Saccharomyces cerevisiae S288C: one gene and its partners. The protein of the gene in region 2 interacts with the protein of the main gene of each other region in a biochemical or structural test. Each region holds a gene or a part of one and is shown on either strand. Other genes may lie near its edges.

Evidence for each region.
Region 1: the proteins of CDC48 (region 2) and DOA1 form a complex in vitro, tested with the Saccharomyces cerevisiae proteins (4 studies listed by BioGRID, with this or other methods).
Region 3: the proteins of CDC48 (region 2) and CUZ1 form a complex in vitro, tested with the Saccharomyces cerevisiae proteins (3 studies listed by BioGRID).

The regions. Positions count from the first base shown.
Region 1 is NC_001143.9:31,460-35,638, forward strand, and holds DOA1 (Doa1p), read right to left. Parts: upstream 2,649-4,179; coding exon 501-2,648; downstream 1-500. Other genes in the region: YRA2 (Yra2p), read right to left, coding at 1-234; phosphatidylinositol-3-phosphatase SAC1, read left to right, coding at 3,084-4,179. UniProt on the Saccharomyces cerevisiae protein: Ubiquitin-binding protein involved in protein ubiquitination, sorting and degradation. Acts as a ubiquitinated substrate-recruiting adapter for chaperone ATPase CDC48 by binding mono- or polyubiquitin chains.
Region 2 is NC_001136.10:235,494-240,461, reverse strand, and holds CDC48 (AAA family ATPase CDC48), read left to right. Parts: upstream 1-1,797; coding exon 1,798-4,305; downstream 4,306-4,968. Other genes in the region: YDL124W (aldo-keto reductase superfamily protein), read right to left, coding at 1-203; HNT1 (adenosine 5'-monophosphoramidase), read left to right, coding at 856-952, 1,064-1,443; cyclin PCL2, read right to left, coding at 4,609-4,968. UniProt on the Saccharomyces cerevisiae protein: ATP-dependent chaperone which probably uses the energy provided by ATP hydrolysis to generate mechanical force to unfold substrate proteins, disassemble protein complexes, and disaggregate protein aggregates.
Region 3 is NC_001146.8:340,698-343,840, forward strand, and holds CUZ1 (Cuz1p), read left to right. Parts: upstream 1-1,818; coding exon 1,819-2,643; downstream 2,644-3,143. Other genes in the region: IGO1 (phosphatase regulator), read left to right, coding at 1-161; NSG2 (Nsg2p), read right to left, coding at 372-1,271; YNL155C-A (uncharacterized protein), read right to left, coding at 1,214-1,438; serine/threonine protein kinase YCK2, read right to left, coding at 2,939-3,143. UniProt on the Saccharomyces cerevisiae protein: Promotes efficient arsenite-induced clearance of stress granules (SGs). May have a role in the ubiquitin-proteasome system (UPS) protecting cells from metalloid-induced proteotoxicity.

The DNA of each region.
Region 1 (4,179 bases), on a different chromosome or scaffold from region 2:
GTAGTCAGAAACGTCTAGTGGGATTTTGGATATTCTAATTCTCTTAGGCAAAGGAGGCTCTTCCCTCTCTCTATAAAGGCGATCTTTCGACCTTGATGCAGCATCCGAAGGCGCAAATCCCAGTCTAGGTCCTAATTCATTTCTTAAATCCCTTCTGCGGTATCTCGTTACCTTATGATTAGATGAGCTGTCTGTGTGACTATTTCCAATAATTTCGTCAAATGCTTTGTCCATTGCAAAATGCAGTATTGAATCGTCTAATGGAAAAGGTACTAGACGCTTATCGTTTCAGTTTTTTAGTCTTTTCCATCTATTTATCAGTCTGTACTCAAAATAACCTTATTGTATGTAACCTTTTTCATTTCACGATGATAATTTCTTGCCGAGTTAGACAGAAAATGACCGTGATAGTTTGTCATAATTTTCAATAGGGCAGAAAGAATTTTAAAGATTATTTGCTATCTAGACATTATGTGTTTTATATGATTGCTGTAAAAGTATTAGGAGAGATCGTCGAAAATATCCTTAAACCTTGGCACGTTCCCATAGCTCCTTTTGATGTTTGCAAGCCAAGTTACGGAGTTGGCAAATTGTCTTAATGTAGGTTCAACAGTAGCCAAATTTCCGTAAGCTACGGTTAGCCTATATGCGGCTTCTTCGCATTCTTGATACTCTTCCAATGGCCCATACTTGGTGTTGATGGCGTCAGCTACGATAGGCAAAAGTTCTAAATCAGAGTTCCCTTTCGTGACGAGAGCTGAATAGTTGAAAATTAGTGTGGAAACTGCAATAGCCAAATTCTGTGACTGTTTAGCAGATGCCTGAGAAAATTCAGTATCTATAGTCTCAAAAATTGATTTATAAACTTGATTTGATTCCAGTAATTTCACACCCCAGTTTTCATTATTGAAGCAATTTACCAAAATACGCACAGTTAACATGGTTAGAGTGATATTCTTATTGCCCAAGCCTTCTTCGATGTAATCTTTTATATCTGAAGAATAAGGTAATTTTTTTACAATCAATCGTACTATGTCGTATGCAGGAGTCTTAATTTCCCAGTTAGATCTTATAGTGTTAGCAAATGAAAGTAGCAACTCCCAGCTTTCATCTATGTCATGTAGTGCGCCACCAATTTGCGCCAGAATTTCATCATCAAAGGTCTTCTCATTTGAATTTATTTTTACTATTCCATTGAAAATAGTATCTGGGTTATAATTTTCCATGATAAGATACTGCTTGACAGGAAGAACCTTCATTACGCTCGTTTTTGAAGGTGATACTGCAGAAGATGATGCATTATCGTTGGGCTGGTCTAGCGATATGCCATTAGTGTTCTTCAGTATGAACTGTACTACTTGATCCCTATAACTCATTGGCAGTTCATAACGAGCCAAAAAATTGTCGGCTGCTGTATATGGGTTGTCGCTGACATTAATCGGCAATTTCAAGGGAGGTTTTCCATCTTCAATATCCACATCAAATACGTAGTCATACGTTTTACCCTCGAATTCTATTTTTTTGTCGTTTCCAGTAGCACCTGCACCGACAACATCACCAACCTTTTTCCATGAAGAATTTGAAAATTGATGAGCTTCTATAGTACCTTGAGGTGATTTGACTACCACAATTTGACCCTCTTTGCGCCCCGGCGATTGTAAAATTTCATAAGGTGATAGTTTAGACTCATCAAATTCTATTGTCTTGGAACTTATAGTGGATTTTTCCACTTGCGTAGATAGTTCATTTATTTCATCCTCGGAAGCCCATCTTGACTTCTCTTGCGAAAATATTCTCACAAGATTATCACTACTTCCCACAATAATATCACCATTAGACATACAATCAACGGACCAAATAGAGATGGCAGGAAGTGTAATTACCTGCTTTAACGAACCATTTTCCTTTGACCATATACGGACTGTTCGGTCTTCGCCGCAGCTTACAATATCTCCATTGGGCAGCAGTTTAATGCAATAAACAAAGCTTTCATGGCCTTCATATGTTCTTAGTACGTCACCTGTATGCATATCAACCAACTTGATGAGGCCATCGTTTGAACAACTGATAAAATGGCCATCATCCACCACAGCTAAATGTCTTACTACATCATTGTGAATCCCACTGAAAGTTTTGATCACTTTATCGTTTTGCCACAGTTTAATCGTCTTATCGGCGGAAGCTGTCAAGAATTTATTTTCTGAGAAGGATACGACTTTGGCATCCCATACAGAGGCATTGTGTGCTTGCAAATTGTAAACCAACGATCCTTCTTTCCAAACCTTTGCGGTTTTGTCCCAACTACCGCTTATCACAACACCATCTTGGAAGGATAAACTACAAACGTTCCCTTGGTGGCCAATCAAGGTATACAAGGGATCCTCTCCTGAGGTGGCAAACAAGGGCACACCGTTGATCATAGTATCCTTACCTCCAAAAAGCAACAACTCCTTCTCGGAATCATAACACACACTATTTAAAAATCCTTGTCCTGTATAAACTACCGTACCGAGCCATTGGTCATCTTTAGACCACAAGCGAACTGTTCCATCCCTCGAAACACTAGCAACCTTTGAATCATCCACAGCTACCACATCCCTGACGTCCTGATCGTGCCCTTTAAGTGTTGCACTCAATTGATATCCCATACTCCAAATCTGCTGCTCTACACCTTACTATCACACATGAATATATATATATAAAATAAGCCAAGACAGTGGCCTTCCCTTATTATCAGCGTACTAAAATCTCATATGATTTATTTTTCGTGGTCCTGAACGAGTGTGAAAAATTTTGAAAAACTCGCAAAGGAAATGCCAAGGTCAGCAACTTTCTCGACGTCCAAGCCTCGCTCCTATTGTTTTAGTAACCTGTAGACCTTCAATATTCAAGAGCTTGCACACGCACGCATTGCTGCACTACTGCTTACCCACACTACAAATTTAATTCCAGCTTATTGAAGTTGAAAAGGCAAGGGAAAAATACCACAGGTTTAGATAAGGAAATAGGAGAAAGGATTAGAAACCATATCCCTATAACAGTAACGATAATATTTATATACACGTATATTTTCTCGTCTAGATATGACAGGTCCAATAGTGTACGTTCAAAATGCGGACGGTATCTTCTTCAAGCTTGCTGAGGGCAAAGGAACTAACGATGCTGTTATTCACTTGGCCAATCAAGATCAAGGTGTTCGGGTCCTTGGAGCAGAGGAATTTCCTGTGCAAGGTGAAGTAGTAAAGATTGCGTCCTTGATGGGGTTCATTAAGCTAAAGTTGAACAGGTATGCCATTATCGCAAATACTGTGGAAGAGACCGGTAGATTCAATGGCCACGTTTTCTATAGAGTGTTGCAACATTCTATCGTATCTACCAAGTTTAACTCGAGAATCGATTCTGAAGAAGCCGAATATATCAAGCTACTGGAGTTGCATTTGAAAAATTCCACCTTTTATTTTTCATACACATATGATTTAACAAATTCCTTACAAAGAAATGAAAAGGTTGGTCCTGCAGCCTCCTGGAAAACCGCTGATGAACGATTCTTTTGGAACCATTACTTAACTGAAGATTTGAGAAACTTTGCTCATCAAGATCCTAGAATTGACTCCTTTATACAACCTGTTATCTATGGGTATGCCAAGACAGTGGACGCCGTTTTGAATGCCACCCCTATCGTTCTTGGTTTGATTACCAGACGTAGTATATTTAGGGCGGGCACAAGATACTTCCGTCGTGGTGTTGACAAAGACGGTAACGTTGGCAATTTCAATGAAACTGAGCAAATTTTACTCGCTGAGAATCCAGAGAGTGAAAAAATACACGTTTTCTCCTTCTTACAGACAAGAGGATCTGTGCCAATATACTGGGCTGAAATCAACAACTTGAAGTACAAGCCAAATCTTGTTCTTGGAGAAAACTCATTAGATGCGACAAAAAAGCATTTTGACCAGCAAAAGGAGTTATATGGCGACAACTACTTGGTTAACCTAGTCAACCAAAAGGGCCACGAACTACCCGTGAAAGAGGGCTATGAATCAGTCGTGCACGCGCTAAACGATCCGAAGATTCACTACGTGTATTTTGACTTCCACCATGAATGTCGTAAGATGCAATGGCATAGAGTGAAATTGTTAATTGATCACCTGGAGAAATTAGGTTTATCTAACGAAGATT
Region 2 (4,968 bases):
GGATATGTTCTGTAGATCTCAGCAGCATCAATGTGAATAATGCCAGGTAACTTCAGAGCATAAACAATCTGTTCGACCAAACTGTTCGAAAAGGTAGCATCCGTTTCTTCGTTTTTATACCATCTAGTACCTGTCCCAATGATGGCGATTGCGGGGATTTTATTTCCATTATTCAAGGTAAAGAACTGTTGGTGAAATGACATCTGTAAAAGTGTTGTTAACTGACCTCCGTTTCTTTAGGGTAACACAACCGTTTACATGTGTATCCATATCCACGTAGTATCCGACTATCAATATATCCGTATATATATATATATATATATGGGATGAGCGTATGTGAGTGTTTTCGTAGATATTCAAAATACGAGTAAAGGAGATCCTAGGTGTGGATTAGTAAGGGGAGTGTGGCAACTTCCTTTTTCCGGTTAATTCTCCGCGCTTTCGTTAGACTATTTTGCAAGGACCCAAATAGGAGACGCATGGAGGCTTCTACAAAACAGCGTGCCGTTTTGATGGCATGAGCAGGGGGCGCAAAGGAAACACCGGTAAATCGCGCAAGACCTTGTTGGCCACGTAGCCTCAAAGGTTGAATTGACACTTGTCTACAGAACTTGAAAAGTACAAAAGGAGGTCACATAAAACAGTAAGCTTGAGAAGCTTTAAGATATGGTGCGAATCGTTACAGAATATTCCTTGCAGAAATAATGGCGGGTCCGTTCTCTTCTGAAGAAGTTACCGCCCTACTGAAGCATTGCTGTACGATCGTGTAATGTGATGTGTGTTCGACTGGAAAGCGGAGAACATTATGAAGTAAAAGGACAATCAGCACGCCTTCCAGACTTTTAAGAAACATTGATGGAGCCATTGATATCGGCACCGTACCTAACAACAACAAAAATGTCTGCTCCTGCTACGCTTGATGCTGCCTGTATTTTTTGCAAGATTATTAAAAGTATGTCACATTACTAATAAAGAGCTTACACTCACACCAATGATGGCGATAGTCTCTATGTAGTACATATACATAAAGCAGAATACTAACAATCGATCCGCTATGCAACAGGCGAAATTCCATCCTTCAAATTGATTGAAACAAAGTACTCGTATGCTTTCTTGGACATCCAACCTACTGCTGAAGGTCATGCTTTAATCATTCCTAAGTACCATGGTGCGAAGTTGCATGACATCCCGGACGAATTCCTTACCGATGCTATGCCGATTGCCAAGAGACTGGCCAAGGCAATGAAGTTGGACACTTATAATGTGTTGCAGAATAATGGTAAAATTGCGCATCAAGAAGTCGACCACGTCCACTTCCATTTGATTCCTAAGAGAGATGAGAAAAGTGGTTTGATTGTAGGGTGGCCAGCCCAAGAAACGGACTTCGATAAGTTGGGCAAGCTACACAAGGAATTGCTTGCCAAACTAGAAGGCTCCGATTAGAGTAATGCATGCTATGATTTCTTTTAGCGTTTTCTTTTCATATTTAAGTTTATACATATGGGTGTGTTTGCTTCCATTCATATCCACTCTATAATGCTAACAATCATGTTACTAGCCATCGTTGCTATCGATACCTTATGAACAGCTCTAACTCCTTCCTTTTTAACCTACCGCCTTTTGCGCACTACCCGGCAACCCCTCGAATGTGAATTCGGTGGCAAAAAAGGACATATATCAGGGCCGTGTATTTAAGAGATCCGCAGTTGATGTAGTCAATTAATCTAGTTCTATTAAGATTTGACTCAACGCCATTGACTCGATAACTGGCTCAACTACAAGACAGATATACAAATCATGGGTGAAGAACATAAACCACTTTTGGACGCCTCGGGTGTCGACCCTCGTGAGGAGGATAAAACCGCCACCGCCATTTTAAGAAGAAAGAAGAAGGACAACATGCTTTTGGTGGACGATGCTATCAATGATGACAATTCTGTCATTGCTATTAATTCTAACACCATGGACAAATTGGAATTGTTCCGTGGTGACACCGTTCTCGTTAAGGGCAAGAAGAGAAAAGATACTGTCTTAATTGTGTTGATCGATGACGAATTAGAAGACGGAGCATGCAGGATAAACCGTGTAGTTCGTAACAATTTACGTATTAGGCTGGGTGATTTAGTTACAATTCATCCTTGCCCCGATATCAAATACGCTACTAGAATTTCTGTGTTACCAATTGCTGATACGATCGAAGGTATAACTGGTAATCTTTTCGATGTTTTTTTGAAGCCTTATTTTGTGGAAGCCTACAGACCAGTGAGGAAAGGCGACCATTTTGTTGTCAGAGGCGGTATGAGACAAGTCGAATTCAAGGTTGTGGATGTCGAACCTGAAGAATATGCCGTCGTTGCTCAGGATACTATTATTCACTGGGAAGGTGAGCCAATCAACAGGGAAGATGAAGAAAATAATATGAATGAGGTGGGTTACGATGATATTGGTGGTTGTCGTAAGCAAATGGCTCAAATTAGGGAAATGGTTGAACTACCATTGAGACATCCTCAGTTGTTCAAGGCTATCGGTATCAAGCCACCAAGAGGTGTTTTGATGTATGGTCCCCCTGGTACTGGTAAAACCTTGATGGCAAGAGCTGTTGCTAATGAGACCGGTGCCTTTTTTTTCTTAATTAATGGTCCAGAAGTCATGTCAAAAATGGCTGGTGAATCAGAGTCTAACTTAAGAAAGGCCTTTGAAGAAGCCGAAAAGAACGCTCCAGCCATCATTTTTATCGATGAAATCGATTCTATAGCTCCAAAGAGAGACAAGACTAATGGTGAAGTTGAGAGAAGAGTTGTCTCTCAATTGTTAACTTTAATGGATGGTATGAAGGCAAGATCTAATGTTGTTGTCATTGCTGCTACCAATAGACCAAATTCGATTGATCCCGCTTTAAGAAGATTTGGTAGATTCGATCGTGAAGTCGACATTGGTATCCCAGATGCTACAGGTAGACTTGAAGTTCTACGTATTCACACCAAGAACATGAAGTTGGCTGATGATGTTGATTTGGAAGCATTGGCTGCTGAAACACACGGTTACGTGGGTGCTGATATTGCCTCTTTGTGTTCTGAAGCTGCCATGCAACAGATCCGTGAAAAAATGGACTTGATAGATTTAGATGAAGATGAAATTGATGCAGAGGTGCTCGATTCTTTAGGAGTCACCATGGACAACTTCAGATTCGCATTGGGCAATTCAAACCCATCTGCATTGCGTGAAACCGTTGTTGAAAGTGTCAATGTTACTTGGGATGACGTTGGTGGCCTAGATGAAATCAAGGAGGAATTGAAGGAAACTGTAGAATACCCAGTCTTACATCCAGACCAATACACAAAGTTTGGGTTATCACCATCAAAGGGTGTGTTGTTCTACGGTCCACCAGGTACAGGTAAAACTTTGTTAGCAAAAGCTGTAGCTACTGAGGTTTCTGCCAACTTTATCTCAGTCAAAGGTCCAGAATTATTGAGTATGTGGTATGGTGAATCGGAATCTAACATCCGTGATATTTTTGATAAGGCAAGAGCAGCTGCACCAACCGTCGTTTTTCTAGATGAATTAGACTCCATTGCCAAGGCAAGAGGTGGTTCCTTGGGTGATGCTGGTGGTGCTTCGGATAGAGTCGTCAACCAACTATTAACAGAAATGGATGGTATGAATGCTAAGAAAAATGTGTTCGTGATTGGTGCCACCAATAGGCCAGATCAAATTGATCCTGCTATTTTAAGACCTGGCAGATTGGATCAATTAATTTATGTTCCATTGCCAGATGAAAACGCTAGATTATCTATTCTAAATGCTCAATTAAGGAAAACACCACTAGAACCAGGGCTAGAGTTAACTGCGATTGCCAAGGCCACTCAAGGTTTCTCTGGTGCTGATTTACTCTATATTGTGCAGAGGGCTGCTAAATACGCTATCAAGGATTCTATCGAAGCTCACAGACAACACGAAGCTGAAAAGGAAGTGAAAGTAGAAGGTGAAGACGTGGAAATGACAGATGAGGGAGCAAAGGCTGAACAAGAACCAGAAGTAGATCCTGTTCCATATATTACAAAGGAGCATTTCGCAGAAGCTATGAAGACCGCTAAACGTTCTGTTTCAGATGCTGAATTGCGTCGTTATGAAGCATACTCACAGCAAATGAAAGCATCTAGAGGTCAATTCAGTAATTTCAACTTTAATGACGCTCCATTAGGTACTACGGCTACGGACAATGCTAACAGTAATAATAGTGCTCCAAGTGGAGCAGGTGCTGCATTTGGTTCTAATGCGGAGGAAGATGATGATTTGTATAGTTAGTTATATGCCAGGTATATTTTTATTTTAAATCGTAAATTCAAGTCATTTCTATAAAAAAAATCGTCAATTTTAACTCAATATTTTATGGCCCTTTTTATATTTATTTTCAAATTTGTCAAAAAAAGGAGAGCTAAATCATTAGAAAAAGAATGCATTATGGTATATTTATGTATATTAATATGTAAAATAAGAAAAAAGGGAGGCTGTAGGACCTCGGTCGTAAGAACATTTACCTGTGTTCTTCCGCCTTTTCCGAAAGTGCCATGAAGAAACGCAGGCCAGGCATAATTTCGACATTTAAAATCACGATTTGAAGTAATTTGACCAATTCGATTTCTTTACTTTTGTATCTTCTTTTATTATCTGTTTGTTTAACCCAGTTTTCAAGATCACAGGGCGCGCTTTACTAAAATTAAAAGGCTTAATTGTCGGTATTGGCCTATTTTCCTTGTTATCGTGTTTGGAGTCTATGTTGTATGTTCGCGGAGAAAACTTGTCGCTAATGTTATTGGATTCGTGTAGTTCGGGCAAAGTTCGTATTCTGTTACTATAATTGGATAAATTCGATCTTCTAGATTCCAACGTGGAGAGGGTCGAAGTGGAAGCTAAAGATGGGATAGACATATTGGACGATGAGCGCGAATGGGAAATGGATGTTTTGTT
Region 3 (3,143 bases), on a different chromosome or scaffold from region 2:
TAGTAGATAATGCGACGTTGATACAAAAGGAGGGAAGTATATCGAGTGGACCACCATCGTCTAATAACGGTACTATTGGAGGTGGTAGTACAAGTTCAACGCCAGTGGGGAACCACAGCTCTTCGTCGTCCAGTTTGTATACTGAATCACCCATTAGATAAATAGACAACCTGTACTTTTTTATATTTTTTTAGGGAAAGAGAAGGGTCTCTTATATTTAACGCTTATTATGTGATTTCTCGAAATGTCAAGTGTTACAGCCATATGGCTGACTGTGTTTACGTTAATTAGTTATATATAAACGATAAGCCATTCTGATGTTATCTTCTTGTACTTCTAATTAATAATATTTACTCGTCAGAATTTCGACTTTAATGAGAATATAGATATCTTCCTAGTTTTCCAAACATTAGAGAACCAAGGAAATAAAAATCCATGAAATATAAAAATTGGGAACCGTCGATAATATCTTTGTAGCAAGAGATACAACAACCCACCCCAATGCAGATGCAGCTCATTAACATGGATATTGAGCCGTCAAAAAACAACCACAGTATAATATTCAGAAGCCCCCATGCCCCTGCCGCCTGCAAAGAGGAGTTCCACTGTATTTTCCTGATCCCAAATGTGACTCCCAACATGGCATTGATACTTCTAATAACAGAGGTCAAACTGTCATGGTGGACAGAGCTCTTAACAACCTCTGTTTGAAAAATATTATCCAGAATTGGTACAACAGAACCAAATAACAGTCCTTCAACACCGTAGCCTAACCAGTTTGGCAGAACCCCATTGGATAGCCAGTTACAAAGTTTGACACCCAGTAGAAGGGGTCTCGATGCAAAATCTGGATGTAAGAGATGATTATCGTGCAAGTTTCTGGACAGTTCATGATATGCGAAACCGCTCAATGACAAAATTAATACAGCTTGCAGGTAATGAAGAATATTTTGACGAGTTTGTCTGGTTCTTGACGGAAAGTTTTCGTGAATGGATGATGCTGATAAAATCCTTTCCAAATTATTAGAAGATACTGTGTTCCTTGGCAGCGAGCCGCCAACCTTATGGGCCAAGTAAAAAGTCGAATCAATAGTTTGATCTCTACTATATTTGGTAGAATCTATAGAGACAGAGCGTTTCAATTCTTCGTAAATTTCGTTATCTTCCGATCTCACGACGTCATCATCATATAATGAATAAAGCTGCGGTTTAGTCAGAGAGCAGATTGATTCGGTGCTCTTCTTTGGATCCGGTTCTCCTCTATTGGCCATTCTGTATGCTGTTTTCTTTGAGAAATACTTTGTCGTTTATCTTCGTCCTTGTCTTCTTTTTGGTCCTTTGTGTTTGAGTGCTTTCCAAACTTTTTCTTTACCTTTTGCACGCCAACTACTATGCCCTTTATTGCAAATAAAATAGGTACTACAATAAGCCCTATCATCAATGTTGAGCTGTCAACTAGAAGTTTAAGGAAAAGAACATCTCGAAGTTTAGTAATTTCCTTGCTTTCATATTTTAAATGTCTAGCTAATTTCGTATCTACCCTTTATCTCATGCCGATAAAAAGAAAAGTTCCCCCCTCGTGGCCAGCGACGTTCGTATATACATAAAACTGCCTCACCCTCCTTTCGGTGGCAAAAGCATGTTCTACAAATGAGTATAAAGATGTAATAAGAGCTTGTACAAGCAAGGACTCGAGCTAGGGCGGAAGTGTGACAACAGTGAGCTATAGGCACATTGTAGTGTACATCTACTGCAAGAGCTTGCATTAATTTTGATATAAAAAAAAGGACCATCAACTAATTTTTGCTATATTTAAGAATGTCGGCGGCTATCGAAAAAGAAACCGGAATGTTGGATGTAGGAAAGCACTGTGCATATTGTAGACAACTAGACTTCCTACCTTTCCATTGTTCGTTTTGCAATGAAGATTTCTGCTCGAACCATAGACTTAAGGAAGATCACCACTGTAGGTGGTTGCTAGAGCATGAAGAAGTTCATAAAACTGAAAAAAGTCCTAGCAAAAGCCGGGATGGCTCAAGTTCTAACGATGAAGCATATTTCAAGAGTCTGTTACCTGAGAGGGCCAGTGTTAGAATCCAGAGAGTAAGTGAAACAAGAGAGCCTTTGAGAGGTTCTAACACTGCCAAAGTGAGCTCTACTTTGAACTCAAAGACATTAGACAAAATATTTAAGTTCTTCCAAAGGAATGAGAAAAGAAAGAGCAATAACAAATCAAAAAAGAATTTCGGTTCCTCGTCGAATAAGATAATTCAATTGGCTAATCTCAAGAAAATTGCTAAAGGTGACCCCAAGATTCCTATGCAAAATAGGATTTACATTTGGTGTTACTTGGTGGATGGTGATGAGACGGATATAGCCAAGGAGGATACAAGAATGCCATTATACATTAACAAAATGTGGCCTGTGGGTAGGGCCATGGACTATTTGTCTATCCAGCTAAACGTGAAATCTAGCACACTAACTAATTCAAGTTCTAATGACAAATTTCAACTATGCAAATTGAAAGAGGGTAAACAAGTTTCATTTTATAATATTGGCGCTTCCTTAAGAGTCACTAATGAGATCAAAGATCTTGATACTCTGTATTTAGTACACAATAACGCCGACGAAAAATCTAATTAAGAAGGACACTATAAATAACAAACAATCGCGCGGAACGTCAAGCGTATATACTATATAAAAAGAAAACAAAAAAAATCAATAACCCATTAAAGATACATAATCAATAAAAAACGATATTAAAAAGCACGTAAAGTACTTAATATTTTTTTAATAATAGACATTTTCGCCCTTACTTTTTAAATAAAAAACATAAAAAAATATCAAATGTACATCAAAATCATAATACTAGAACAAAATGTGAAGATCACTGGACGGTGGTGGGAATGATTACAAAAAACCTCCTCCGTTTTCTATTCTAACAGCATCCTAGCTTACTGAAAAAACCTTTCGATGATTTGTTACTATTTCTATCTTGCGCTGCGTTTTTAGCGTTTTGTTCGTCGTTCGCCGTTGGTTGCGCATTATATGGATACTTGTTAGTTTGACCATTGGCACCTGTATTGGCAAACTGTTTGGATTTCTGTTGCATTTGCTTTTGTTGTTGCTGAGCATATTTTTGT